7 separate regions of the Mus musculus genome follow, and regions 1, 2, 3, 5, 6 and 7 are each reported to be linked to region 4. The links are microRNA targets in miRTarBase. Many come from high-throughput screens and were not tested one by one. Region 4 holds a microRNA gene; each other region holds the end of a gene's coding sequence.

Region 1 (4,067 bases), not on the chromosome of region 4:
CCTTTGAAAGAACGCTGTTGCTGTGCCTGGATGAAGTTTTGATGACTTGGGCACATGTGGAGAAAAACTACTAAGTTGTTCTGGTATGGAAGTGTTTTTTGACCAGAGGGCACCATCCAGTGGAGCTATCACTACAATGGAAGAGGCCCAATGCCAAAATGAACAGCCTGGGATCAGCAAAATGTGTCACTGTGGATACAAAGGTGGGTTCAGCAGAGAGCTCAGCCCATACGGCCAGGATGCTGGGACTGTGGGTTCTAAATCTAGCTGCGCCAGTGACCCAAAGTCTTCTTGGCAGTCCCTGCCATGTCATATTTTATTCTTCAAAGTCCCAAATGGGACCACAGCACCAAACATAAGCCATTTCTTAAGTTCTCGCTGGTAATTTGAACGTGAACTCTAAAATGGACCTGTCGGGTGGGGGCATCTGAAACATGGAGCAGAAATGTTTGGCAGAACTGAAACCCACACAGACAGACAGACAGACACCAGGCTTATACGGAGATGGTTAGTGGGGAAGGAGGGCAGGGAATGCCCGTGCTCCTTCTCAGGTCTCTTCCACCCCATCCCACCCAGCTAGGACCAGAAAACACCACTGAAGCAACTCAAGGGAGCATGCCGAGTGGGAGGGCATCGGGGAGTGGGGAGTGGATGACAGGGGTTGGGTCAATCACAACTCACGCTGTTATTGATCGAGTGATTTTAGTGAAGTGAATACATTGGCAGGGAAAGCATGAAAACAAAACACACCTGGGAATCACTATTAACATACGTGATAACATCAAAACATCTGGTCAAATGTAGTTAAGAAACAACAGGAATGAGAAGGAATGTAAAACATCTTCACAGTATTCAAAGCTTTTGTATAAAAGGCTTAGGCTATAAAGTGGAGTCCTCAGGGGGTGCGAGGAGGGGGGAACCAGGGCCAACAGGAATTCCGTCTCTGCGCTTAGGACCCACAGCGCCAGGTCAGAGCAGCCAACATGCCATCCTGGAGATGTGACCCCGGGTCTGCTTCTGGAGCACATCTTGAACCACGTCCGGCTATGAAGGTCCAACAGAGCATCTGGTTACAGGGAGGCTAACAAGATAAAACAGGTTCTAGCTTTGGGAAATGTGATTTCTGTAATTTACACATTCTTAGGAAGCCTGGAACTGGGCTTAGACTCAGCCCCAGGGAGGACCTAGTGCTAACCCACCAACCATGAGCTCTGAGGATACAGAATGTTTTAAAAAGCAAACATATTCTTACAATTCTTGCCTCTCAAGTCTATTTTCTAAGATAGCTATTGATAGTTCCCAAAAGTTTGGTGGGTTTAGCTTTCCCTGACTCTCCGGAATGACTATTTTAAAGCTTTCCAAATCTGACCTTTTCATTGGCAACGCTGGTCAGAGCGCACATGGACCACCTCCATTGGAAGCCAGGGACAAAGCTAATGAGTCTGCACATTGGTTTGTTACACCTTTTGTTGAAAAGGACAAAGGCTGCTGATCATGCAGCTTTCGGGCCCCTAGATAGCCTCCCTTTTTGTCTGGAACTGCTGATGTAGTATAGACAAAACTGGTCTGTGTGTGTGTGTGTGTGTGTCTGAAATCCTCACAGGTCCGCAACAAAACTCTGAAGCTGGGGACTCTGAAGTAAGGGGACAGACAGCTGCTGCAGTTCACATGATCAATTGATCGATCAATTGGTTATGAATCCTTCCTGAGGAAGTTACTTCCTGAGGGTTCCCAATCTGGAGCCCCCCAGAACATGTCCTCCCTTTTATGCTGTGAAACTGCTAACATCCCCAGGGAAAAAAAAAAATCATGTAGGCAGTCTCCCGCCACTCGGAGAGGGCCCTGCCACATGATACACTTTCCCAAAATGAGCAGACCCCTCACCAAGCACTGAACTAGTAGTGGCTCAAGGCCCAGATCTACACACTCAGGAGACTTTGCATTTCAGTTATGGACAATGAGGTTAGACTATTTCTAATTACTAATGCACATACATATTTTTAAATCATCCACAATGATAGGCAAATCACCTAAGGTTCCTCATAACATTGTGATTAAGGTTGGAAGTATTCTTAAAAGGGTTAAGATAATAGGACTACTAAACATGAAGTTAATTAGGTCACTACCCCACTCAGGTCAGTAACTAAGTTGGCATGGTGAGTTTTCAGGCTGGAGTCTTTCAGAAGTAACCAGAGTTTTCCTGTTTCTGGGTCAATCCAAGGCCACTAGATGATTCTTCAAAATCATTCCTACCTCTGGATTGAGTATGCCAAAGGGACAGTCACTGTAGCCCCATGGATGCGGTGGGGAATTATCAGACTTTGGTGGAAGAAATTAACTTTTTTTTTTTTTCAGAACTACAGGGACAACAGGAGTAAGGCTGCCTAAGAGAACTGGAATATTTACATCACTTATTAAGCATACCAACTTTGAGAAATACCTCTGGGCACTTGGGAAAGCTGCAGATTAGTTAGCCTTTGAAACCATCTCCTCGGATAGGGCACTTTAGCCTCAAAAGAATATGACCGGAGGAATGCAAAAGTAAAGGTGGAGGGCTCAGGCAGGCAGCGATTTTAAATTTGTCTGAATTATAGGCAATCATGTATAAGGAAAAGGGCTTTCCTTGCAGAAAAGCAGAGTCTATGGATACTGTCTCCTTCCACAGCTATACTGATTCCTGGGCAGCCAGGCACAGCCATGAGGCCCATCTCCTCCACAGCACATGCACAGAGTTGCCTTCCACAGCACATGCATAGGCGGTGTATTAAGAGGGCAGCCTTGGGCAGTCAACGACGTTAGTCTTTGAAATGCTGAGTGTGGACTTTTACTCAAGCCTTGGAGGGTATGTGGGCTTTTATCCCTGTCTTATGCTGCTGTTCTTTTGAAATGTGACAGATGGAATTACAAAGTGAGGCTGTTGGCACAGGATTCCCCCAATCACCCTGACTTGTGACCTGCTTGACATTTCTACCTTTGCTCATTTCTTCCACTCTATTGTTGAAAACTAGTAGCTGTTGGCTTCTCAGCCTGAAATGCCTCATGTCTCTTCATGCCCACGTACCTCCTTCATACAAAAGCAGACCCTTGCCTGGCATCCTTGTATCCCGATGGACTGGTAGAAGTGTCCATCTGAGACCTACAGTTTCCTATCAAAGGTGGCCAGTTCAAAAGCTGAAGGTAGAGTAGGCAGTGGCCTCCCACCCAAACCCTTAGCTATCCCGTTCTATACTGGGATACCCTGGCTACTTTCAGAAGTGTGTGTGTGTGTGTGTGTGTGTGTGTGTGTGTGTGTGTGTGTGTGTGTGTGTGTTTTGAAGGTGGCGATGGTCTATCTAAGGCAGAAAGAGGGGGATTAATAATAAACTGAAAGCAGCCTGGCTTGGCAATGATCAGACTCTTCTACCTGTAGAGGCTTAGACTCCACAAGCAATTGGTAATGATGTCCCGAACAACGTTGAGCTGAGCAGCTGTCCGTCTGCAGTTCTTTACAATCCGTTTTGTTTTGTTTTTCCAAACCGGCCAACATTTTCTGTTTTTTGTGCCCGAGGCTCAGTGAAAGGATTCTGCCTCTCCTTTTGCACCGTGCCTGCTGGCCCTGCTGCAGCCCTTAAAAAAAAAAAAGCCTTCCTAATCTAAAGGGCCGTGGCCTTAGCTGGATGTGGCTATGGAGGGAAGGGAGAGGGTTCGCTGTAGGAACAGAGCCAGGTGCAATGCAAAAGCCACAACTGTAATGGGTGAGAGCAATATGTGAGCCCCCAAGAGCCAGGGTCATCCACGCGCCCCCACCCTCACCCCAAGCCACACTCCCCTTCCCCAGTCCGCCCCAGTATCACTTAAAAACAGACTGGAAGGTGGGACACTCGTGGTTTTTCATTCTCTTCATGAAGTTTTTGAACTCCTTGTTTTTCTTGTCCCACTTGTGAATGGCTGTCAGCAGGTACTGGCTCTTCACCTTGCGGCCCATGATGAGAAAGTTGTGGCTGAGGTTGTCCAGCTGGTGGCAGGGACAGTCGGCACCGTTCTTCAGGAACAGCACAAGCCGCTTCAGCTCCTTCTTCTTGATGGGC
Region 2 (4,067 bases), not on the chromosome of region 4:
TTCCAGGACAGCCAGAGCTACATAGAATCTGTCTCAAAAACTGAAAGAAAAAAAAAATTATTTGGGCCAATAAGATGGTTCAGCAGGTAAAGACACTTATTGCCAAGCCTGACAGCTTGAGTTTGACTCCTTGGACCCACCTAGTGAAGAGAACCACTTCCCACGACCTACACACACACACACATGCTGCAGCACGTGTGGGGAAAAAATTGACATAAAATTATTCGACCTGGTATTTTGTTGCTTTTAAAACCATTCTTTCGCTAAGGGTGACTAACAAGATAAAAATCATATGCCATGACTGTAAGATCATTTCTTTTTAGAAATGTCTATTCTGTTTTCTCTCATATCACCTTGCAGCTGATTTTCAAGGAGTATGGCAAAGAATCAGGAAGCTGCCATAAGGCAGAAAGATCAGAAAACCAGTGTACATCCTGAACTACGGGCTGAGCTCAGTAACACGGCTGTTGTGAGCGAGGTGAATTGCTGCAGCCGTGTAAGCTGCAGTAATTAAAGCTATAACAAGTGAAAACAGCTCACTGTGACACTGCACTCTCTAAAGTCCTGTGAAGCAATGACTGAAACCAAGGGCACATCATGCCACTGCTGGGAAGTTAAATCCACTGGAGATTTTGAAAAAAATGAGCAAAAGCTTCAATGTGAAATAAAATCTTCGATGACTGAAGACATACAAAGACAGGTTCTCTGAATGCAGGAGGTCCAAGGGAGTAAGAGTTCAGCCTGCCTGACCCCAATCCAGAATTACACAAGATTTTATAAGAAAATGCACAGGAGAGTATATATAATTTGAAACTTTATTTTCTATGCTATGCACATGCATTTTGCTTGCATGCTTGCATGTATGTATGTGCAACATGTGTTGTGTCTGGTACCCATGGGGCCAGAAGAGGGCACTAGATCCCCATAACTGGAGTTACAGGCAGTTGTGAGCCATCATGTGGGTGCTGGGAACTGAACCCCGGTTCTCTGCAAGATCAAAAAGTGCTTTTTAACTCCTGAACCATCTCTTTAGCCACACATGCCATTTTTAACCATATAAAAATAATATTAAATTGCAAACACAACTTCTTGAAAGTATCTGTCAATCTTGGGACACAAAATAGTAAAAATATAGTTTATAATTTTTACCTTTTTTTTTTTTAAAGATAAGGTCTCACCTATATAGTCCAGGCTTGATCAAACTTGCTATCCTCCTGCCTCAGCTATCTTGACTAACCTAAATTTAGAAGGCATATAAAATAAAAATTATACAAGCTAAGAAGACAAATAGTAAAGGTAAACCTTTTTTTTTAATATTCAAAATTAGGATATTCCCTCTAAAGGCCTTTAGTTATTCTATCATCATAAAAATCATCAGAAATATGTGTAGAACCCTCAGTTGTAGCATTTCTGTGCCCTCTGAGCCAGTCGATTACTGCCTTTCCTCAGCCCCATCTGACGAGGCCTGTGCTACAGAAGCCTGTCTGTCTACGGATGGCACAGAGGACAGGATACCTCAGTTGAGTCGGACTCTTCCATTTAAAAGTTCTTGTTTCAGAAGTCCCCTCCCGCTGTTTCTCTGTTGAATAGCTAAAGCTCTTTAGGAAGGAGCCACACCTCACCTTGAAAGCATCTGTGCTAGAGACAAGGCTATTGCTCAGTACAACGGAAACTCAACTTGTGAAGTGGGGAGTGCTTTTGTGTTCACTGCTTTAAGACAATCTTGTCATTCGGGTCTGATTTAAAGCTGAGCTTTAATTTTTTTTTTTTTTTTTTGGTTAGTTGGTTTTTTTTCAAGACAGGGTTTCTCTGTGTAGCCCTGGCTGTCCTGGAACACACTCTGTAGACCAGGCTAGCCTCAAACTCAGAAATCTGCCTGCCTCTGCCTCCCGAGTGCTGGGATTAAAGATGTGCACCACCAGTGCCTGGCGAGCTTTAGTTTTTAATATCATGTTCCACTAAAGTGCTTTATTAACCCTGACGGCAGGCATTTGTGGTTCATATATGCCATGCTGTGTGAATGATCAGTGCTGTAGCACAGAAAATTACCACCTTGCTATTTGTCTTTTATGATCTGTAAGAAATGAGAAAGGACAATGTACAGTCTTTGCTACGTTTTAATAATAATAGGTTTTAAGGAATTAATTTTTATGTCTAGTCAGCAATATCAAACAAAATGTACTGAGTACTCCCCAGGTACAGAGTACTGCCAAGTACCTTAGACCCTTCCATGACAGCTACAACTCTTGCCCCAGGAGCTTACAGCCTGGGGACCTACAACTCAAAGCCTGAGTGGGAGAGTGAGCTAATTTAAGGCAAAAATCTCCTCCCCCTAGAGCTATTATAGATGGGATGATTTTAGCAGTTGGAACTACCCAATCAAGATTAATTTGGTTGTGGATTTTTTTTCAGGTTGAACCTGAAATACAGTTTTTATTAAGCTCCATCTAGTAAACAGTGGCCTAGTAGGTGCTGAATGAAAGCCAAGACTAGATCTCTTGAAGGACAAGTTTAAGACATCTTCCTTGTGGTTATTTACTTGAAAAAGCAAGTATATTGAATGGTGTGGTGAGGTCACTGACATGTGAATATTAAAGTATATGGCATGTCTAACCCACAGAAAGCCCCTCATGAGTCCTAATGCTCTGTGTAACAACCATCCATCATGTGCTTTCAAAGTTTTATTTATGCCTTGTTACACCAAAAGTAAATAGTCCATTCAAAATAAACTAGTGACCTGCATATTTTCATATGGATGAATGACTGTATATCTAAATAGGAAATAAATGGCAATCCTATCTACCTATATTAAAAAAAAATAGACAGTCTTTCCAGATTTTTGCATACTAAGGAGAGGTACGGGGTCTTAAGGTCTCACAACGGGTGGTCAGGAAAGCAGCAGTTATCCCGCAACATCTTGACATCTGACTCAACTGTTCCTAAATGATACAGTTTAAAAGATACTGTAAACACATTTTCAAATCCATAGTTATTCTGAGATGGTTCCAACGTTAACCCTAGAACTACCAGAAAGAATTAGCAGTACAATAGAGAAGAGCAGATAATCCACCTGACGATACACGTGCTCTCTTCAGGAAATCAGTCTGGTCATCCGGGGAACACTCAGGGTGGGATGCTCATCTGGCCAGGTCACACTTTCTATGCAGGAGACCCATGGCACCAGGCTAGGTCTCTTCTAAGGAGACTTTGCTAGGCAATGTAACTAGTCCAGTTCCTCTCAGAGCAGTTCTACCCACTTCAACTCACAGCGTGGCATTGAAACCAGAAGAGCATACTGGAGCAGAAGTGAGCAGAGACGTAGACTCTTGCACATTCTTATTGCTGCATTGTCTGAAGTTCTGCACATCTACAACAGTGCTGTCCGGGAAACAGGGGAGTAGAGGCAATGAGAAAATAGACTATTCATTGCACAATTAATAGAAAAGTGAAAACGTTTCCAAATCTACAATAAACCTGTATCCAAAGGAGTGATAGGTCAGTGATGTGCTGAACTTTTGTTCTGGGGTCCGGCTGTGCAATAGACTCGCTTGGTCAGCTGGCGTGGGTAGGGCTCACTTCCTGCCTGTTGAAGGGCTCACTTCCTGCCTGTTGAAGGGTGATTATGCTACTCAGAGCTATGATGGGTTCTGAGTGGTAAAATTCACACAAGTTCTTGGTTATTTGTATCAGGATCATTCCTTGTGCAAACTTTGATGTAGATGAAGATAAAGTGGTTTCTTGGTCAACAATTGCAATTTCTTTCTTTTAAAGTCAGTGGGTTTCTTGTATCTGAAAGCACAAAAGAAAGATTATTGTTTAAAATATTCTGCTTGATTGACCCCTAAGTTCCATTCATTTGCTATGCCCAAAACTTACAGTTCTATTACGATTGGCCCAGGTTTAATTTCATCCATCTCCATGAAGGCAAAACACTTAGTGCTGGTAAACCTCTTTTTAGGCTTGTAATGTTTGAATTCAAAGAAAATGGCCGCACCTAAGAAATTAAAAGACATATAAACCACGGGCAGCACCTTCTGTGTTAATTAGCTTTCTTTACTCACCAGAAA
Region 3 (4,067 bases), not on the chromosome of region 4:
CTCCAGCCTTGATCAAATCTCATGGTATACATTGGTAAGAAAAAGGGTTTGAAACATAGACCTGATACTCGGACATGGAAACAGTATGTTTGGTCAGAGAGAGCGAAGGACCTGATAGACGAGGGCAATATCAGAGAGAGGGCATCAGTCGGGTTAGACACGAGCATTCCACAGTGAGCAGCTCTGGATAAGCTTTTATAAATGCTGGTTAAGGTTTTGAATTTGCCCAATTTTGTCAGGATCCCAGAGTCTATCACAAACATACACAGTTTTCTCAAATCTGCTTTGCAGTATGCCCGTGAATGTCTCTTATCTATACTTTCAGATGGTAAGACCCTGAGGGCAGAGGAACTCAGACCCTTTGTGCCCCCTGTAAGACCCTGGGGGATGCAGTGGACCCGACTTTGTGTTCTCTGCACAGAAAGGAGTCCACTTTCGTTGAGACTAAGGAAGGGAACTGACAAGCTTCCCTTTCTGGCTTCAGGTTGGCAGTGCCTGAAGCTCTGAGTGCCATCTGGAAGGCAGAAAGGATCCTGTTGGTGCACTGTGGCCCTGAGAGTGAGGAGGTCCGGGAGCTCCGGGAAATGAGGTCCTGCTTACTGGACTCGTCATTCGTCCCTGTGGGGCCCTTGGTGTAGAGCAATCATCCTCACCCTCAAGAAGGAGCTCTGGTGATGACTGAGATGTTCTGTTGGCTTGGAGCTCTCATCAGAGAGGACGGGACCTTCCCACCTGACCTGAGCCTAGTGTCTGGCACAGAGAGCACTTGAAAACAGATTGAGACACTCACCTGCCATGCTGGCTGCTGCTTGCAAGAGCTAACTGCCCTCTGATGGAAACCCCATGCCCAGAAAAGACTAAATCCAGTATCTAAAGGCTGCTTTAAAGGGTTGTCACTGCAGCCGGGCTTGGTGGCACACGCCTTTAATCCCAGCACTCGGGAGGCAGGCGGATTTCTGAGTTCAAGGCCAGCCTGGTCTACAAAGTGAGTTCTAGGACAGCCAGGGCTACAGAGAAACCCTGTCTTGAAAAACCAAAAAAATAAAAAATAAAAATAAGTAAAAAATAAATAAATAAATAAATAAAGGGTTGTCACTGATCTGCAGGCAGCTCATGCTAGCCTAGGCTTTTGGCTCGATTTCATCTCACTAAACGATGAATCTGTTTCCCTGGAACATTCCTATGGTTTCTAGTAGTAATGAAGTGCTGTGTTCCACTCCAGTGAGAACTTCAATTCTTAGTCTTGTATTATAATTGAAAAATAATATATAGCAAGAAATCAGTATGACTGCTTACCTCAAGAGACATACAATTCCACTTACAATATCCTGCTTCCTTAAATTTTTCATTAAGACTGGTGATATATAATTTGTGAATGGAGAAATAAATACGTCTTACTGTTGGCAGTTTCTTCCTGGGATGGCAACTCTGTATTGGTTTCCTACCAGTGTCCTAATTCTTACTCAGTGGCTTTCATTGAGTGTTCTTGGCACTCACTGTCCAAGCACTGATGCAAGGCAACCCTGTAGCATGACTTCATAGCACAGGCCTCCTTGTTAGCACACCTGAAAGCAGACCACTCTGGCTGTTTCACTTGCAGACAGAATCTTACTCTGTAAGCCAGTCTAGCCTCAAACAACATCCTCCTGCCTCAGCCTTCCAAGTTCTAGGTTTATAGGAAAAGGCCACCTTGCCCAGCTTGAGACTGCTTCTTACTGCCATGTCTCTTCAGGCTCACACATGAAGTCCAGGGCACTCCAGGAGGAGCCGTGAGTCTGTCTGCAGGGCACTCCAGGGGGAGCCATGAGTCTGTCTGCAGGGCACTCCAGGAGGAGCCGTGAGTCTGTCTGCAGGGCACTCCAGGGGAAGCCGTGAGTCTGTCTGCAGGGCACTCCAGGGGGAGCCATGAGTCTGTCTGCAGGGCACTCCAGGGGGAGCCATGAGTCTGTCTGCAAGGCATTCCAAGAGCAGCCATGGGCGTCACTCATTGGTAGACTGTGAGGCTACATCTCCAGATGCCCCGAGTGCTGTGGTTGTGAGCACTGCTGCTCATGGTTTCCAACTGAGACAGAGGGAAGGACTTTGCCCCTTTCCCTAAGGATGGGTAGTAATAGTCCAGACCACAAGGGACAGATAGCTATGGGGTTTTCTGACTCATCCTTAGTACATTATTGCTGATGACCAGTTTGTTTGGATGAGTTAGTGGGAAAGAAGACCCAAGTCCATACACTCTGCTTTTTAGAACTTGCTCATCCTAGCCATGCCCAAGGAGCAGCCGTTGACTGTCATGGCATTACAGTGAGGAAATAAACAGTCCTGAAGGTGCCTGGCAGCAGCTTTTCAAGAAGCTGGTGTTAAAAGACAGTATTCAAACATTTGCGGACTGGGAACTGGGCAGCATTTGAGTCTCCTGCTGTCTGTTAATTTACCCTGACAAGGAGGTGACTTGAAAGGTTTGTTTTGTTTGGGGTAGAGCTTTTTCAGGAAAAAAGTTTAGTCCTACAGACAACTCTATAGTTATTCTAGTCCAAACTCATGCCTTGTGTTTTATTCCTAAAAGCCCTGTCACACTTTGTAAAATAGGTGCTCTTCCTCAAAGGATATATTTAACGTTTTATATATCAGGCCTTATTCTGTGCATGGAAGCTTTTTTTAGATGCTTTGTAAGATGGCTCAGTGGTTAAGAGCATGTACTGCTCTTCTGGAAGTCCTGGGTTTGATTCTCAGCAGCTAACACCAGCTGTTATTCCAGTTCCTGGGATCTGATGCCCTCTTCTGGCCTATGTGAGCACTGCATGTGCGTAGTGCACAGACAAATGCAGGCAAAGCACTCATACATAAAACTAAATTCAAAAAACTCTTTCATTGTCTCATGTGACCTAGCTTGAGAATACCTGTGCTTATATTATAATCTAGTATGAGCCAGCCACGGTAGCAACACACCTATTATCTCAGCACTCAGAAGATTGAGACTAGATGGTCAAGAGCTAGAGTCTGGGTTACAAAACACCTGTCTCAAAAGTAAAAGGGCTGAAAAAGTGTCTCAGCAGCTAAGAGCACACACTGCTTCTCCAGAGGGCCTCATTTCAGTTCCTAATACCCACACCGAGTGACTCAACCACCTGTAACTCCAGGTCCATGAGATCCAACACCTCTGGTCGTCTGCATAAGCTCCTACACTCAATTATACAGAGAGAGAGAGAGAGAGAGAGAGAGAGAGAGAGAGAGAGAGAGAGAGAGAGAGAGAGAGAATTTTAAGAAAATCTTTCAAAGTAAATTAAAAAAAAAAAAGGATAAAACAAAACTATGCATTTAAGTTCGGTAAGGTGGTGCACACTTTTAATCCCAGCATTCAGGAGGCAGAGGCAGGCAAATCTCTGTGAGTCCTGGGCTTGCCTAGTCTACATAAATGAGTTCCAGGGCAGCCAGGGTTTCATAGTGAGACCCTGACTGTGGGTGGGTGGGTGGGTGGGTGGGTGGGTGGGTGGGTGGATGGATGGATGGATAGGTAGGTAGATAGATAGATAGATAGATAGATAGATAGATAGATAGATAGATAGATAGGCAGTCTAGAGAGGTGGCAGTTAAGCATATACTGGTCTTACAAGAAATCCAAGTTCAGTTCCTAGCCTCAGTGACAAGCAGCTCAAACCACCAGTAACTCCTACGCCAAGGAGATCTGATGCTCTGACCTCTGCAAGCACTATACTCATGCTATACTCATGCATGTGCCCACACTCGGACACATATGTATGCACATAACTAAAAATAAAACTTTGCCAGGTATAATGGCACATGCCTATAATCCTAGCATGTGGGAAGTAGAGGCTGGAGGAGCAGGAGTTCAATGCCATTCTGAGCTATATGAGACCCTGTCTCAGAAAATAGGGACTGAATGTCAGGCATGGTGGTGCATGCCTTTAATCCTAGAACTCAGGAGGCAAAGCAGATGGACATCTGAATTTGAGGCCCGCATTGTCTACATAGCAAGTTCTAGGCTAGCCAGGTACATCATAAGAACCTTTCTCAAAAAATAAATAGGGCCAGTTGGCAAAATTTAGCTTGCC
Region 4 (4,067 bases):
TGTGGAAAGAGAGGCTTGTGAGTCCTTTCCCAGCTACTACCAGCGACTGTACCTATTCGCTGGTACACGTGAAGTCTCTGCTGCTAAAACAGAATTATGAGTACAAACAGCGAGGCACTGCACAACAACTCATACGCAACACAGAACTGCATGCGCATGTACCAACTGAGGCATGACTATACTGCTAATTACTACAAGGTGCTCTGTTTAATAGACAAATTGCCACACGCTGGGCTTGCTTTTCTCGCTTTAAGGTACAAAAATGGAGAGTAATTTATATGCTCCTCCATACCGCACGCACGGCTGCCTATGCTTACACTCCCTTCAGCTCACCCCAGTGCTCAGAGCACAGTGGTAGTAACAAGCTCATCTGCAAACACGTGTATGTTTCTGTAGGTAGGCTCTTGTAAAAGAAAAATCACTCTTTGTTTCCACTGATAAAGGGACGGACCCACTACCCTTGTCCCAGGCTGCCCTGGAGGCATTCAGGTTGGGGCATTTGGGCATTTCTGGATTAATGAGCATCTCCATGATAGAAAAGATACACACACACACACACACACACACACACACACACACACACACAAAATCCCAAAACTTCCAAATGGTAAGACTCATTCCCAGCTGGCACCTGGCACTACCACCAATTAAGAGTTTATTAATGTAGCTTACCAGCCAGATCAATAGAATCACATTTGTGATAGCTCCTTTATTTTTTGTTTTTGTTTTTGTTTTTGTTTTCAGGACAGGGTTCCAGGCCCTGGCTGTCCTGGAACTCATTATGTAAATCAGGCTGGCCTTGAACTCAGAGATCCACCTGCCTCTGTCCCCCAAGTGTTGGGATTAAAGGTGTGCACCACTGCACCTGGCTCTTTAGAAACAAACAACAACAACAAAAATGTGTGTTCATTGTGCTTATGTATATATTCGTGCCAAGACACATGCGGAAGTCTGAGGACAGCCCAGAGGGATCAATCTTCTCCCACAACGTGGGTTCCAGAATCAAAGTCATATCCACAGACTGGGCAACAAGCCCCTTCACCCATTGAGGCTCCTGCCATCATGGCTATCCTTTTATTTGCTATAGATTTGAAAATATGTATTCCATAAATACCATCAACCATGAAAACTACTCATGGCACAATGAAGGTAAAAGATGCCCGATATATGGTGTCTGTTTATAATATCAGATTATTTTTAAATTTTTTTTCTTGTGTGACTTAAAAGGGTGACTTTTTGAAACTACACCCTACTTTTCCACCTACCACCAAGGCAATTACCTCCATTCGACAGACAGAGACTCTTTATGGTGAGCCGGCCAGATCGATTCTGCTTGTACCTGGAGCAGGGCAAGAAAAAAAGACACATGTAGCTCAGTAACTGACTCCCCACAAGGGCTGCAGACGACCCCTAGAGGTGTGATGGTCCCAGAATACTTGAGTTTCCCATTATCTAAAGCTACGACACCTGTGCAGAGGACAGAAGTCCGGTTTCACTGACCTGTACAGCAGTTCCTGAGCAACGATATCTCCATAATCGTGAGACAGCAGGTTGATTCTGCGGTTCTGGAGCCCCAGGTGCCGCAGAAGGGACTCTACGATGCTGGCCTGCTCAAATATGGAGTACTGATGTGGTCTCTGAGGAAAGGAAAGCCAGAGATACAACATGATGTTAGCAGTGCCTGCCAGACCCTCATTTGTACCCACCCACCTACCCCCATCACGGACCACACCCAGCTGCTGCTTACCGGCTTGTCACTGAAGCCAAAGCCTAAGAAATCAAGGGCGATCACTCGATGGAACCTCAGGGTCAGCCCTTCCCAGATCTGTTAAGAAAGCAAGCATGGTGAGCACTCTGCTCCCACTGCCCAGCCCCACAGCAAACAGGCCTGCATGCCACTGTACGGAGAGCGTAACTCCAGCTTTAATTTGGCAGTGTCCCTTTCTGCAGTCAGTATTTTACTCCCCTTACAGTACATAAAAAGCAATTCTACATTTAATGAGATTTTATCAAACAGTTCAAATCTGCAAAAGAATTCTAGGGCTGACCAGAACAACAACAACAACAAAAAAAATATCTTGAGTTTTGAGTATTTTTTTTAGGACATAAGCCAGACCTAGAAACATTATTACCTTGTACCAGTCATAGCTGGATGTTGGAAAGCCATGTAAAAGCACAACTATCTCAGGGCTTCCGACCACACCGACAGAATCTAGGAGGAAAATGAGAAATGAGGCAAACTGCATGCAAGGCAGCCTTGACGACACCAAAATCTAATCCAGTCAAAAGGATCAGACTAAATGAATGACATCACCATGCTGTGTTAGAAAGCAAGCTGACAGGACTTCAGGAGCTTCCTCCTAATCTGCGCTTTTAAATCGTAATGGCATGCTTTACATGAAAACCCTTAAAACAGTTTGTTCATCATCACTTAAGAGTTGTGTAGACATCCTCATATTTTCGCTGACATTAATATAAAACTCAAATTTTTAAATAAAAAGGAAAAACAGTTAAAATACTATAATCACAGCAAGCTAAAACTTCTTTGTCCCTAATCAATATTTATCACACCTAATATCTAAGATGTGACAGTTCTTCCCAGTGGATCACCTGAGCTTATACCATTTGTCCATATACTAGCAGAATTCATGCAACTCAAAAAATCAAACTGTTACAAAGATGGGCTAATAGTGATGGGAACTTTTTCTGTATGTGACATATTTCAGATTATTCAAACAATAAAATACCTTGCCAACAGTACTGGATTGAAATTAATACTGCTAGTGGAATAAAACTTTGGTAGCATGTTTTCAGAAATTATTTAATTAAAAGCAATTAAAATATCATATACTGGATTTAACCTAAAGAACCTATGCAAATAAGATGTAACACTGAATATCAAGTCTGGGAAAGAACAACAAGCCAACATAAAAAAAAAAATGCATACTTACTCGACTGGCTATAACCCATGAGAGGGGGTCAGGAGCAATAATGAAAAACGGTTTACGAAAAACAAACATTTTTCGTTATTGCTCTTGACCCCCGCCCAAAAGAAATCTTTTCCAATCTGTTTCTCGGTTTCTTCAGCTATAAAATGAGGTTAATGGCACCTATCTCCAAATGCTGTTGTAAAAATTAAGTGAAAAATGAAATAATGAAGGTTAAAATATAACTGAATATCCTGAGTGTGGTAATTAAATAGCAGTCATCAAGTCAATCTTATCAGCTACATATAACAAATCACGGAAAATAGTGCATGAATTTGGGAATGGGGTGGGGCGTGGGGGAAACAAAGGTATAGATAGATCTCGAAATACTATATAGCTTACCTGACACTAGGGGCGCTCAAAAGAGAAAAGTAATTTCTCAAATACAAATGGGGCTGCAATTACTACCAGGCACAATTCTACCCCCACCTTCACCTCACCTTCACTGTGGAGCAACAGACCAAGGGACACAAAATAAGTAACTTCAGCTGAAACCTACACGACCCACGTCCTTGGGATTCTCCAATAGCCCAGTTCTCACCTTGGTAGAAGATGCGTAGGCCTTTGTAGGTGAAAAACTTGCCAGAAGTCTTCCATGAGTGCAGAGCAGGGGAGAGCTGAGGGGGCGGGATGTGCAGGTACGCAGCCAGCAAGGGCACAGCCAGGAGCCCTACTTGGACCCACCACTCTCTCATCCTGTGGAAAAAGCAGCCAAGGTAACATTGTACACTTCCAAAAATCAGAATGAAACATGGGTGGGAAACCTGGGCACTGTGAGGTTTGACCCCACCCCCCATCCCTCCCCTCCCCTCCCCACCCCTTCCCACTCGACCCCTCCCCTGCCCACTCCACCCCTCCCCTCCCCACTTCACCCCTCCCTTCCCCACTCCACACCTCCCCACCCAACGTGACAATGGCATAAACTTTACCAAGAAGAATGTGATAAACACCTTTACCCTTTGACATCTGGCAGTCACTGTACTAGCTCACTACCATTCTTTCCAAGCACATATGTAACTTACTGCATGGCCTTAAGCAGAGAGCTGCTCCTGGGTTCTAACACATACATATCCTCTGACC
Region 5 (4,067 bases), not on the chromosome of region 4:
GAATGATCCCCCTACAAATCCACCTACACCCCAAATGAGAAAAACGATTCTAGGCCGTGTGAAATTGAGAGGTTTACTTTATTAGAATCTGTGAAGACAAGAGTTTGCAGACACAATGCTGTCTAGTTGTGAACTGCTGCAGAATTCTGTGACGTTTGGATCTATCTTGTAGTGAACAAGCCTCCCAGTGGTTGAGATCTTAGGATATTGTTCCATATTGCAAGCAGATGAGAGGTGTTAAGAGATATTATGGCCATCAACTTTTATACTAGCCATCCACTTAAGCCATTCCCCGGCATACGTACTGCGCAGCCTAATCACAACTATTACGTCACTACAATGTGAAGTTCATCTTCGATTAATAATGCATTTTTGACTCCTGTTTATATTGGTGCATGCAATTCTTTGCTACCCTGGCAATTAACCAGACCTGGACTCTAAAAGCTAAACTTGGTCTAAGTAACATTCTAAGGGCGGGGCAGGCTCTGTAACCTGGACTCAGCCATGGCTCCCTAGAACCTCTTCTGTAGCACCTCCTCTTCCCTCCTGCCTGTCACTCTGCATTTACGAATGCCTGCTGTGTCCTGGAAAGGTTAGTTAAGTGACCAGATAACCTATGCAAAGGACAATCGGTCAAGACCACAGACCTTCTGGAACTTTCTAAGACTGGGGAATGTGTTCCAGGTGTACTCTTCCAGTGTTCCTAGTAGGATTATTTCAGTCAGGGTAGGGATAGATTGGAGATCTTTATACTAAAAGAGTTTGGCTACTGGGACTGCATCTCTGGGTCCAAAGGAAGTCCAGTGAAATCACACCCTTTCCCCATCATCAGTTTGCTAACAGTGCAGATTTCTATCAGCTCGCTTAAGCAACATAGGAGGCAAGGAGATAGGCAGACATACGGTAAGGAGTGCTTTGTTAGCCAGGACAATAAGGGCTTGAGTACATTGCTCCCACTCATTCGACCCAACGGAAACCTTGGCCCATGGAGTACTTGGTTCCTTTGATCATGAAGCACGCCACTCTGCCAGACACAAAGCGTTTTGGTAGGCATCGCTTCCAGAACCAGTACGTTCAGCTCTCAAAGTCTAGACGGGAGAATTGCTACATTACTCTTTATGCAGACCGTTCAGCTTTGGGTAGGGGTGTGCAGGTGTGGAGGGGTCTGATGAAGCTGTCATCTGGGTTAGTCTGTGTGATCAGAGTATTCTGACCCAAGGCACCTCTGTCTATTGCTCAGTCTCGCATGCATCGTCCACTGTGGGGTAACAGCACAGACAGCAACCAGTGAGGACAGTTAAGAAATGAAGCTGTGGAGCTTACAGGCAGCAGCGTTATTAACCAAAATTGCGAGTATTTTCCCTTTCAAACAAGCACAAGTAGAAATAAAGATTTTATACAAGATTCTCGCGTTCTATGTACATAAAATTATATCCATTATAACAAAATCGAAAGTCTATTTGAGGACTGTGGCTGGAAACACCCATGAGCTTCTGAAGCAGGGTTAGCAGGAGTCCTAGAAAGCAGGCATCCTGAGGTCTGGATTTGAGACCCTGCCGTCCAGTTTGGGGTTCCCATTCGCTTGTTCTGTGGTTTGATAGCATTTTTTTTTTTCACATTCTGGCAGGGAGTTCTGCGGCAAGCGGTGTGGAAAAGAAGACAATAGGTTGAAATTCAAAATGCTTTTTAAAAATCTGCATATTGGCTATGATGATGGTTCACAAATCCAACTTGCATTTGAAGTCCCTTCCCTCATTCTGTATCTGTCCATCCATCCACCCATCCATCCGTCTGTCTGTCCGTCTGTCCATCCATTCATTCGCCTGTCCATCCATTCATTATGCATGCTTCCAGTGTTTTAAATCAGGATGAATTCCAGCAGATAAGAAAGAGAGTTCTGAAGAGATAAGAAGGACTATGAGTCAGATTCTTGATTCTTTACCCTCATTTGGCTCTTGAATGTTGAATGTTGGCAAGTCTAGCCTTGCACAGGAGGAGGAACACAGAACCTGGCCTTGGGAGGCTTCTTTTTCGTGGTTCCTCTCCTGCTGTCTTTTTTCCTTCTCTGATCCTTCCTGTGGGGGTTAAAAGGGCAACAGCCTCCGAGGGCAGGTGGACCTCCAACCCTCTTACCTAGAGAGCAGAGTGTAAGTACAGGCACTCTTCCCTGAGGGAAATCTGACAGGGATTGTTAAGGCCACACACTGTGGTCTGTGGTCACTTCAGCTTGGAGGGAATTCTCACATTCCAACACTACGACTGCAGACCCAGAGTCTGGAAGGGATTAGGTTCAGGACCCTGCTCCTGACAAGCACCAGCGATTCTGAGGCTGGAGAGCCACAGGCCTGCCTTCACGGGTCTAGGTTTACGTACTGCTTTTAGGTGAATGTGAAAAGCTGCAGGTTTGATGGAGACATTTCATGGAATAGAACCTCCTTTAATATTTCCTTATGGTGGGATTAAGAAGAGGGGGAAGGAAAGGGTTAACTGAAAATGTGCATGGTTGGCAAGGCTGTTTTGAATTTTTAGATATAAACAGAGTAAACTGAAACTCTATTTTCTCCAATTAAATTTCTGCTAAGGTCACCTAGAATCATGCATGATCTCTGAACTCACGCTTCATTGTTCTGAGAATCACTTTCTGATCTGGGTTTTCATTTACTGGGTTTTCAATTAACTGGGGTCCAAAAATGCACAGCGGTGTTGTGTAGTAATCAGATATACTGAGATAGACCAAATTCGTATACATTTTATCAAAGTGTTTTCATCACTGTCCTAATTTGTCATTAGTCACTACTGCTAATCTCTTACTACTTTATTAAATTGAACTTTGTCCTAGGTATGTATATGTAGAAAAAACATAGTGTATAGATAAGGTTTGGAACTATCTACCCATTTGGTCATCCACTCAGGAGTCTCAGAATGTATACTCTCCAGAGAAGGGGGTACTGCTGTAATTTGGGGTACCTCACTAACTCTTCAGTGTACAGGTTCCACCAAAGCAAGTTTGACCTGCTCTGGAAAATCAAGGCATCCACACTCTTACCCCGACCCCCATCCTGGTTGAGTTAGCCAATGTTGCCCTAGCCTTCACTGAGCCTCCTTGGAATCTAAATTATATGAGAACATGGTGCCTGGTGTAGGCGGTCTTCTCCCACCAGCTTAAAAAACAAAGAATACTGTAAGCTGCCACTGAGTCACCTCTGTGAGTCCCACCATAAAGAGAAGGAATTAACTCTGCAGGAAGCTGGTATTTCCTATTCACAGCCATCCAAGATCATTTTAAAAGACCTCCAATGAATGTTTCCCCCACCCTACCCTGCCCCCGGCACAGAGTGGGCGTCCTAAGCCTTCCCTTTCAGAGCCCTCTTCCAAGCAGGCTGCACCCAGTCCTCACTAAGGGCTGTTTGACCACCCAGGAACCCGTGAAGGCTGGCTGCTCTGGGGATCCTCAAACTTCCTATTTCCACGTCGTGATATTGATTTTTGAGGTTTCTCTTGCTCCGGTGAACCCTCAAAAAGAATCCTTAGTTCATCTTCACTCTGGTTCATGCCTACTGAAATTCAGGTGGGCAGTGGCGAGGGTCAGGATCAGGGACAGAACAGTCAGGCTGAGGTCAGCAAATGCAGATGAGTCCCAGGGGGCTGGTGGCCAGGAGGGACAGTTACATTAGTAATTTAAGAAGTCGATCCCCACTTTGACACTCTTTGAGGTGGTTATGTCGACGGCCGTGGCCTTGATCTCAGTGTCCCCGAACTGCATGATGGTCTGGATCTCTCTGCGGGCGGGAACCGCTGTGCCGCCGCTCCCCGTGAGATCCAAGCGGAGCGTGCCACACTTTTTCACCCCTGGGTCAGTGATGAAGCTGACGTTATCATGCTCAGAGCTGTAGATGTTGATGATGATGACCAGCTGGGAAGGCTTGGCCGGGGTGTAGCTACGCTTGACCAGCTCCCCCAGAGCCACAGACTGGTCGGCGGAGATGAACTTGTCGAAGACGTCGGTGCACCAGCGTGTGCCGTCCTTGACCAATAGCTTCTCGGGAGGGTGCTTCCCTTCCACGTAG
Region 6 (4,067 bases), not on the chromosome of region 4:
CCACGTTGGGACTCTCTTCATTTGTGTTTCCTTCTTCCCCTCTCTGCTTGCTCCTACTTTCCCTCCCTCTGTTCTCCTGTTCCTCCCTCTTCAGGAAATTTCTGCTTGTCCAGTGGCCCTAAGATCTAAGTGACAGATCACGGTCTATTTGACTATGGTCTGAACGGTGGCACTCTTGTAGATGTAATGGTGACAGTCTGAGGAGCAGCCAGCCTGGTTGGAGCAGTTCTGGGAGAACACTCTTAGCCATGTGCAGGAACGCTGCCCACCTGGCTCCATCTTGTCTCGGAGGGGATTGGAGGACCTGTGGTGGAGGATGGCCCCAGTTCCCCTCCACCTTGATTCTGACTTTGCACATGGCCCTTGCAGGTAGAGCAGCTGTATGCCAGGCAGCTGGTGGAGGAAGCGGGCAAGAGCTGCGGTGCTGGCTCCCTGATGCCAGCCCTGGAGGAGCCCCAGCCGGACCAGGCTTTCCGCATGTTTCCGGATATCTGTACCTCACACCAGAGACCCTTTTTTAGAGAAAATCAACAGATCACCGTCTAAGCCTCAGTCCGGGCACCCCACCTCGCCTGAGCTCAAGCTTCAAGAGTCTGTGACTAAGAGAATTCCGAAAGGATGTGGAGCCCTCTGACTGGGGTGGGCGGGTGTCCTCCAAGGGGCCTCCGGAAGCCCACAGAGGGATGCGCTCCTGCTCAGGCAGGTGTCAGAAGCTTGCAGGGGCTGTGGCCGCAACCTGTGATTAAAGCATTCCTTTCCTGCGTTTCCCCCTTCACCACTAATGGCTGGCCTTTCTGTGTGCTGAGGTCTTTCGACAGTTCAAATCATCTGGTGGCAGCAGACTCGCCTTTGCCCTTCTGCGGCCGAGGGCGGAGATTTATGACTTTCTCTGCTTGGTTGGAGAAGAAGAATCTTTACTATTCAGCTTCTTTTCTTTTTGGCCAGAACTCTGAAAAAAAAAAAAACTCTTTTTAAGACAATATTTGTATTCTCACAGGCTCAGCTGTCAATCACTTGAGACCTTCCCTGTAAAGTGGGGCAGATTTTAAATATGGGTGTAGATACTGCTTGCAGCCTTCGCAGGAATTTTGGTTGTGGTTCATTGATTCACACAGACTCTGTGTCAGCTGACAGGGCTGTGTGGGGCATCAAAGGAGGACCAGGCACTGTGGAGAAGACCCATTCACTGGCATCTCACCCTTCCTTGTCCAGCTCCATACCCAGTCCTAAGACCCAGTGAAAAGCCACGTCCAAACTGTGCTCTGGGCTCATCAGTGCCCACCCACGTACCAGGGAAAGGCACACACCCTACCCAGTGGGCACAGAGCGGAATGTCCCCCTACCGCACCATTTGCGCCCCCAATCTGGCTGTCCAACCTAGTTTGTAAGTAATCTAAATCAGTGACTATAGCCCCGCCTAAGGGACACTTCCCGGAGGAGGGAGCCGCTGAAAAGGAGTTAGTTTGAGGGTCAGTACACAACAGGGGCAGAAAGCCAAGCAGATGTGGGGGCAGGGAGAGTCATCATCTGCTTTTGTCTGAGAGAAGGAGAGCTTCTCCGTTTGTTCAACTTTGTAACAAGCTGGGTTACATGCTCCACGCAGCTAGAGAAGCCTAGGTGCTCTGCATTCCCTGGGGAACTGCAGGAAAGCCTTACCTGCTGACTGTTGCTCTGGGGAAAAGCCTGAGGGTCCAGAGCAGCTACAAGCTACAGGCCATACCTTACAACCTGAAAAGCTAAGGACCACGGTGACCTTCCCGGCTACTGTGTGAAGGTGCTGGGTGGGGCCTGCTCAACAGACAGGGTCGACAGAGTGTGTGATACATGCAAACAGAATCCTTGGAGTGTGTGATACATGCAAACAGAATCCTGGGCCCCTGCTTCTCCCCCTCAGTCAAAGCAGGAGTGTCCCTTCCGAAGCCAGGACAACCTGTTCACAAGGCCCCTTGTCACATGTCACCTTCCACCTGCCTCAAGGAGTGCTAGTGTCCAAATATTTATTTTTGTATTCTCTTAAGAAGTATTGATTTCATCCTTTATTAAAAAAAGTTGCTCTTTCACAAAAGTAATGTTTGTTTCTTTTTTTAAAAAATCACTTTTGAATATAGTTTTCATTAGATTCCAGGATTTTTTTTTCTTTTTAAATTTTGATGTTAAAAAACGAGACCAGAGGTCTGGAGAGATGGCTCAGTGGTTAAGAGCACTGACTGCTCTTCCAGAGGTCCTGAGTTTAATTCCCAGCAACCACATGGTGGCTCACAACCATCTGTAATGGGATCTGATGCCCTCTTCTGGGATGTCTGAAGACAGCGACGGTGTACTTATCTACATAAAGTAAATTTATTTTTAAAAAGTCTTTAAAAAAAATGAGACCAGATCTGACTCTGCAGCCCAGGCTTTGAACTCATTGCAATCTTCCTGCCTCAGCCTCCTTAGCAAGGGGAGGAGAGGTGTGAGTCACTGTGAATCCTTAAAGGAATCTTTAAAATAAATCTTTAATTTACTTTTAAGAAATAATGGATTGAGATTTTCAAGGATTTAGGGATTTTTTTTTCTTCTCTTAAGACAATAGCAGAAAGCTCTGGAGAATAACAGACACAGGAGAGCACAGAGGGCGGGCAATCCACGCTGTTCTACCAGATGTAGATTAGGGTTTCAGTGAGCCCAGGCCTCGTGCAGCATGGGAGGGCATGGAGGAAGGAGACTATGCTGACAGCACCCTTCTGGAAGCTTCTAGAAGCATTAGTGGGACGGTCACCAGTCATAGCGCTGAGGTGTGATCTTCCATTCGTGCACACATACTTATGCCAGACACCGGCTCAGAATGACCCTCACTGGTGCTATAACCAGCCCAGGGGCCATTTCAGTAGCAACTGGGAACAAAGGCCCTCCCCACCCCCACACCGCAGGTGGGCACAGACTGCTAGTTCTGCTGTCTCTGAGGCAGTGTGCACTGTCTCTGCTCTCATGGGATCTCAGAGACAGGGCCAGTTAGTCCCAGCTTACCCATGTGGAAAGTGCGGGAGAGGGCCATGTTTGGCTTGAGTGAGGCCTCCCTTGTTCCGGGAGTGCAGTTAGAGCTTCTGCAAGATCCTTGGCCCAGAGGACAGCTGACTGCAGAGCAAAGTAAAGCAGCCATTTCTGCAGGGAGTCCCGTTGGCTTCAGAGGGCTCCAACGGGGGTCTTGTGTATAAACAGCTCCTCTCTGGATGTGCAAAGTGAATCCAGTCCTGTTTGTGTCTCTCAGAGTTCAACCTCTGGGCCAAGAGTGGATGCTGTCTCCCTGAAGTGCGGGAGGGAATTTGGCATCTCTGAAGGCTGGGGCCTCCTGGGACAGGACTTGGGTCCTCAAAGGAATGTGACTTTCTCTGGGTGGAGACTGTTTGGTCCTGAAGGAAAGGCCAGCTACCTAACCACCACTCTTGGGATCATATAAAACCCTTATTAGGTTAGTGTGTGTTAACATGACTCTGAGTGGCTACTTAGTTCCCTAATGTCTGCAAGGTCCACCTGAGCAGAACAAACTTTCTGCTTCCCTTCATACCAGTCACAGAAGACAAGGACCCTAGAGACATCGAGGGAAGAGCAGGGTGGGGTGAGGCAAGTGCCCTGGGGTGCCTGCTGTGTGAGGTATTGGCTGGGCCGGTGAAAGACAAGGGTTGATTGTGTGGCCAGAGGACAGGCTAGGGTTCCACTCATCATGCTTCTGTCTCCCATTTCCCTCACCATCGAGAGGGATTTGATACCACACACAAAGAGGCTTAACAGGCCCGAAGAGCACAGAGCAGAGCCTGCCGCTCAGAAAATACCCAAAATAACCGTATTTCTGTTTACCACTCATCTGTAATTAAGCCAGGAGTGATTAGAGAGCTGAACTATAAATATTAAATAGTCCTTGCTGACACGCTACAACGCCAATGGTTAAGTAAGTGTGTGTGTGTGTGTGTGTGTGTGTGTGTGTCAATCAACTATGTCAATAATGTAATTGTTAATAGGGTGTGGTGGTGCACTCCTGTAAGCCAAGCATTCCAGAAGCTGAGGCAGGAGGATGGTGAGTTCCAGACCAT
Region 7 (4,067 bases), not on the chromosome of region 4:
TGCTCAGCCAGCTTTCTTATAGAGCCCAGGACCACCAACCCAGGGATGGCATCACCCACAATGGGCTGAGCCCTCCCCCACTGATCACTAATTAAGAAAATGCATTGAACTGCATCTTATGGAAGTATTTTCTCAATTGAAGCTCCCTCCTTTTAAATAATGCTCGATTGTATCAGGTTGACAAAAAACTATCCAGGACACACTGCTAAGCAAGCATCTCTTATTATTTCCTTTGGTTGCTTTTTCTAGGTGAGACAGGAGAAAAGGTGGAAGCAGAGATGAAAAATGAGAAAGAAAGTGAAGAAGCTGAAACTAAAGAGAAAGAAACAGGAGAAGCTGTGGATCTTGGAGCAGCAGGGGCTGGTGACAGAAGGGCTTAGTGTGCAGTGTTACACCAGAGGGCAGGGATATTTGAGGCTGGGAGGGCGGGCACCACCTTTCTGCGGCTTTGTGGTTTATACAAGGAGTATAGTTTTAAAATGACTGTAGGAACCAAGAGAACAATGCTGTTTTTGTTTGTTTGTTTGTTTGTTTTCTTTTATTGTTTACACCATAAAACTGCTAAGCCAGACACGGTTTTCTTAGATACTTAGGATAATTATGAATTCAAAGTGACAATAGCCATAGCCAATCAAAACTGTAAGATCATCTAAGAGAGAGAAGGCAATCTTCACCCTTGTAGCCATGAGGTCTCAGGATAAAATGAGACCCTAAAAGGAAAGTACAAACCTTTAAATGTAGGTGTCTAGAGAGAGGAACTAGCAAACTTTAAGGAACTCATGATAAGAGAGTTTTGCAGTTATAATAGTGATGGAACAAAATTAAATAACCCCAGAACACAGGACCAACTCTACCTAATATTTCTGTCCTGTAATAGAAATTTGACTGAGCCGGGCGTGGTGGCGCACGCCTTTAATCCCAGCACTCGGGAGGCAGAGGCAGGAGGATTTCTGAGTTCGAGGACAGCCAGATCTACAAAGTGAGTTCCAGGACAGCCAGGGCTACACAGAGAAACCCTGTCTTGAAAAACAAAACAGAAAGAAAGGAACCTCAGGGAGCCTGTATTCTAACTACTTTCTGTCCTGAAATCTATCTACTACTACAAATCACTGTGACCCATGGCATACTAAATGTTAACAAAAATTTCTGGAGGGATGCAATTGGGGTGCTGTTGCAAGCTTTGGGATTTTTTACAGTTAAAGAGTCCACATTTTCCATGTGCCATTTTGAATTGGCTGGTGATTTTATACTTAAGGGGGGGGAGTGTTGGTGATCTCTCTCTCTTTCTTTCTCTTTCATGTGATTTACTAGCAGTAAAATAATTTTAAATCACTTGACTTTCAATGAATTTCTGAGACAAAAACAAATGGAACACAACCAGCAAGGATTAAGTCAGTCCTAGCTTTAGGGCTGTGGAGACAGCTTAGCAGTTTGCTAAGTTTTTGCTGCCAGGCAAAGAATGGGAGTTGGATCCTCAGAAACAACTCTGGTGGGTATGTAAGCTGTTTGTAAATCCTGCCTAGAATGCAGCCCAGGGATCCTCAAGGCTGGCTGGCTAGGGAGCCTGATCTTTCCGGCCAACCGTGAGTTCTTCTGAGAGATGCTGCCTTATAGAATAAGGTGAGCGGTGATCTCGGAATGTTTCTAACATCAGCTGTGTTCCTCTGCACACACGTGCACACACATTTCTCCACACATATGAGAACATGTGTACATGCACAGCAGACACATGGGGAAAAAAAAAAAGGCAAAACAAAAACGAAACTCCAAAAACACAAAACCCCAAAATGCCCTCGCTCAGCTTTACTGTTTATATGTAATCTTCCTGAGCCTGCTTTCTTTTTTTTTTTTTTTTTTCATTTCATTTTTTATTAGTTAGTTTCTCCATTTACATTCTGCTTTCTTTTAAGTGACTGCAAATTAGCATTAGGTGAAAAAGAGCTAAGAAGTCGAGATTTTAAAAACATTTCTGTACCACAGAAAGTCTTTTTTTTTTTTTTGGAATTCTTCCAAAGCAAGTAAGGACTTCTGCTGATGATTGTGTGTGAGTTACAATATGGCAGTTAACTTGTTCTTTATTAAGCGCTTTGTGTCTATGAATTTCAAGGTAGGTTTATGGAAAAATTTACCATTTTAGGAATACATAATCTTAAGATTACCACTTAGATGAACCAACTAGCATCTTTTGCTTTAGTGTCTACATTAAAATAAAAACCTCTTAAGGTGAGCCAAGACTAAGTGTAACACTGTGGAGGGGAGTGTACTATCAGTGTTCTGACGTCAGAGTTACCTCATGCCTCTGCAACACACCCAGATAGATAAGAGCAGTTCCTAACAGATGACATAGCCTATTGCAAAGTAGAAGTTGGACTGCTCTCATTAAGAGCAAGTAGTTCTATGTAACCTTGAATTCAGTTATTTGGTTCCCTCAATAGACTACTTACAGATCCTCTATCTATTGAGTCAATGTTTGAATACCAAGAAACAATATATTGGAAATATAAATTTGTGTGGCACTACCCCAGCTCTATCTCTTAGATGGGGAAATCCATTTTCCTGTCAAAATTGCTCAAGCTCAATGTTCAGAGTAGTTCCCCAAGCAAGGTTTTTAGGTCAGAAACTCAGTAGAGACTTTATACAACATATATTTCAAGTTTCATTTGTTTAGTTTTTCCTGATTAGGAGAGTCGATAAATAGAAAGTGTCAGAGCAGGTGTGTGTGGTGATATTTTTGACAAACCCATTCCAGAATACATACATATACATCACTATAACATATTGTACTTAATAGTTGACAATCAAAAATAAAAAGTTAAATGTAAAGGCTTACTGTAAAATATCTGTGACCATTCCTTTTTTGGTAATTTTTTTGAGACAGGGTCTCCCATGTAAACTCTGGCTGTCTTGAACTCAGGTCTCCAGTGCTGGGACTAAAAGTATGTTCCTCCAGATCCAGCTATCAGAGATTATTTTAACAGCTGAATCTTCTTTATAGCAAGCACTCAGATGGACACATTTAATTAATAGGCACAAGCACAAAAGTCCATTCTTCATTGGGTGGCCTATCTTTTTGTGTCTATGTGACAGGGTCTCACTGTGTAGTCTTGGCTAACCTTGAACTCACTATGTAGACCAGGCTGGCCTTTGAACTCAGATGTCCACCTGCCTCTGCCTCCTGAATGCGGGAATTATAGGTCTCTTCTACCATTCCCAGCTCAAAACTCCTTTCTTCCTTAAAATGTTGTTTTGAGACAAGGTCTCCTGAAGGTTGAGCCTGAGCTCCTGGTCCTGCTGCCTCCACTTCCTGAGTGCTGAGATCACAGCTGTGTGATCCCAGAGCAGGTTTATACAACAGTCATCCTTGAAAGAACACTCTCTCAAAAAGTATACTATAGCTCTAAAATAAAAGTTTTACAGATTGCCTTCTAATGCTTTACTTTCTATTAGCCATCCAATTACTTTCCTAGCTTTAGAAATTTGTATATTTTTTGTGCTTTCTATACTTTTATCTCTAATGTGGCTACTAAGATATTAGAAATCTTTTAAAAATTTAAGGATTTACTTATTTATTTTTAGATGTTGAGACAGGGTTGATCACTGCAGCCCTGGAACTTACTCACTCACCAGGCTGGCCTAGAACATAAGAACACAAAGATCCACCGGACTCTCTGTGTCACCACCACCCACAAAAGATTTATTTTTAAATTCTCTCTCTCTCTCTCTCTCTCTCTCTCTCTCTCTCTCTTTCTTTCTCTCTCTCTCTCTCTCTCTCTCTCTGTGTGTGTGTGTGTTTCTGTACACATGGATAGAGGTGTCCACAGAGGCCAGAATAGGGCATTGGATCGGAGCCCCTGGAGTTCGAGTTAAGAGAGGTTGTGAGGCACCTGACATGAAGTCTTGGAATTGAATTCTGGTCCTCTGCAAAAGTATTAAGTGTCCTGAACCACTGATCCATCTCTCTAGCCTGAAACTTGTTTGTTCTTTTAAATTAAACAACAACAACAACAACAACAAAAACAAAACAAAAAAAACCAAAAACAAAATAACCAGGTATGGCTACTTTGTAG

Evidence for each region. The annotated mature microRNA mmu-miR-335-3p reads UUUUUCAUUAUUGCUCCUGACC and lies in region 4 at 2,978-2,999, opposite strand. An mRNA with a match to its seed (bases 2 to 7 or 8) in the 3' UTR can be bound and repressed. Matches are read on the target gene's strand: a 7mer-m8 pairs with bases 2 to 8, a 7mer-A1 pairs with bases 2 to 7 and ends in A, and an 8mer does both.
Region 1: miRTarBase lists Sfrp1 as a target of mmu-miR-335-3p. Seed matches in the 3' UTR shown: 7mer-A1 at 2,348-2,354 and 7mer-m8 at 1,371-1,377.
Region 2: the mRNA of Aida is a reported target of mmu-miR-335-3p. Seed matches in the 3' UTR shown: 7mer-m8 at 2,745-2,751, 7mer-A1 at 2,405-2,411 and 7mer-A1 at 1,790-1,796.
Region 3: the mRNA of Smyd4 is a reported target of mmu-miR-335-3p. Seed matches in the 3' UTR shown: 7mer-A1 at 1,027-1,033 and 7mer-A1 at 1,256-1,262.
Region 5: miRTarBase lists Hspa12a as a target of mmu-miR-335-3p. Seed matches in the 3' UTR shown: 7mer-m8 at 2,762-2,768, 7mer-m8 at 2,652-2,658 and 7mer-A1 at 1,610-1,616.
Region 6: the mRNA of Irf8 is a reported target of mmu-miR-335-3p. Seed matches in the 3' UTR shown: 7mer-A1 at 951-957.
Region 7: miRTarBase lists Erich5 as a target of mmu-miR-335-3p. Seed matches in the 3' UTR shown: 7mer-A1 at 1,023-1,029.

Annotation. Positions count from the first base shown.
Region 1 is chr8:23,446,251-23,450,317 of GRCm38, reverse strand. It overlaps Sfrp1 (secreted frizzled-related protein 1), which reads right to left. Exons shown (of 3, transcript NM_013834.3): 3 at 686-4,067. The coding sequence ends at 3,830. Among named protein-coding and RNA genes, the nearest start is that of Sfrp1, 37 kb to the right of the region's middle.
Region 2 is chr1:183,322,211-183,326,277 of GRCm38, reverse strand. It overlaps Aida (axin interactor, dorsalization associated), which reads right to left. Exons shown (of 10, transcript NM_181732.4): 9 at 3,877-3,994; 10 at 1,777-3,789. The coding sequence ends at 3,693. Mia3 (melanoma inhibitory activity 3) reads left to right here. Exons shown (of 26, transcript NM_177389.3): 26 at 1-42. Among named protein-coding and RNA genes, the nearest start is that of Gm34102, 21 kb to the left of the region's middle.
Region 3 is chr11:75,404,282-75,408,348 of GRCm38, forward strand. Smyd4 (SET and MYND domain containing 4) reads left to right here. Exons shown (of 11, transcript NM_001102611.1): 11 at 485-1,424. The coding sequence ends at 638. Among named protein-coding and RNA genes, the nearest start is that of Serpinf1, 16 kb to the right of the region's middle.
Region 4 is chr6:30,740,286-30,744,352 of GRCm38, reverse strand. It overlaps Mir335 (microRNA 335), which reads right to left and starts at 3,054; the gene lies at 2,957-3,054. It overlaps Mest (mesoderm specific transcript), which reads right to left. Exons shown (of 12, transcript NM_008590.2): 2 at 3,529-3,683; 3 at 2,133-2,212; 4 at 1,748-1,825; 5 at 1,501-1,637; 6 at 1,281-1,339.
Region 5 is chr19:58,795,691-58,799,757 of GRCm38, forward strand. It overlaps Hspa12a (heat shock protein 12A), which reads right to left. Exons shown (of 12, transcript NM_175199.3): 12 at 61-4,067. The coding sequence ends at 3,671. The region is part of intron 2 of Gm41877 (a long non-coding RNA gene); the gene reads left to right. Among named protein-coding and RNA genes, the nearest start is that of Gm41877, 3.2 kb to the left of the region's middle.
Region 6 is chr8:120,754,630-120,758,696 of GRCm38, forward strand. It overlaps Irf8 (interferon regulatory factor 8), which reads left to right. Exons shown (of 9, transcript NM_008320.4): 9 at 370-2,065. The coding sequence ends at 546. Among named protein-coding and RNA genes, the nearest start is that of Gm39266, 13 kb to the right of the region's middle.
Region 7 is chr15:34,472,561-34,476,627 of GRCm38, forward strand. It overlaps Erich5 (glutamate rich 5), which reads left to right. Exons shown (of 3, transcript NM_173421.2): 3 at 250-1,332. The coding sequence ends at 380. Among named protein-coding and RNA genes, the nearest start is that of Rida, 21 kb to the right of the region's middle.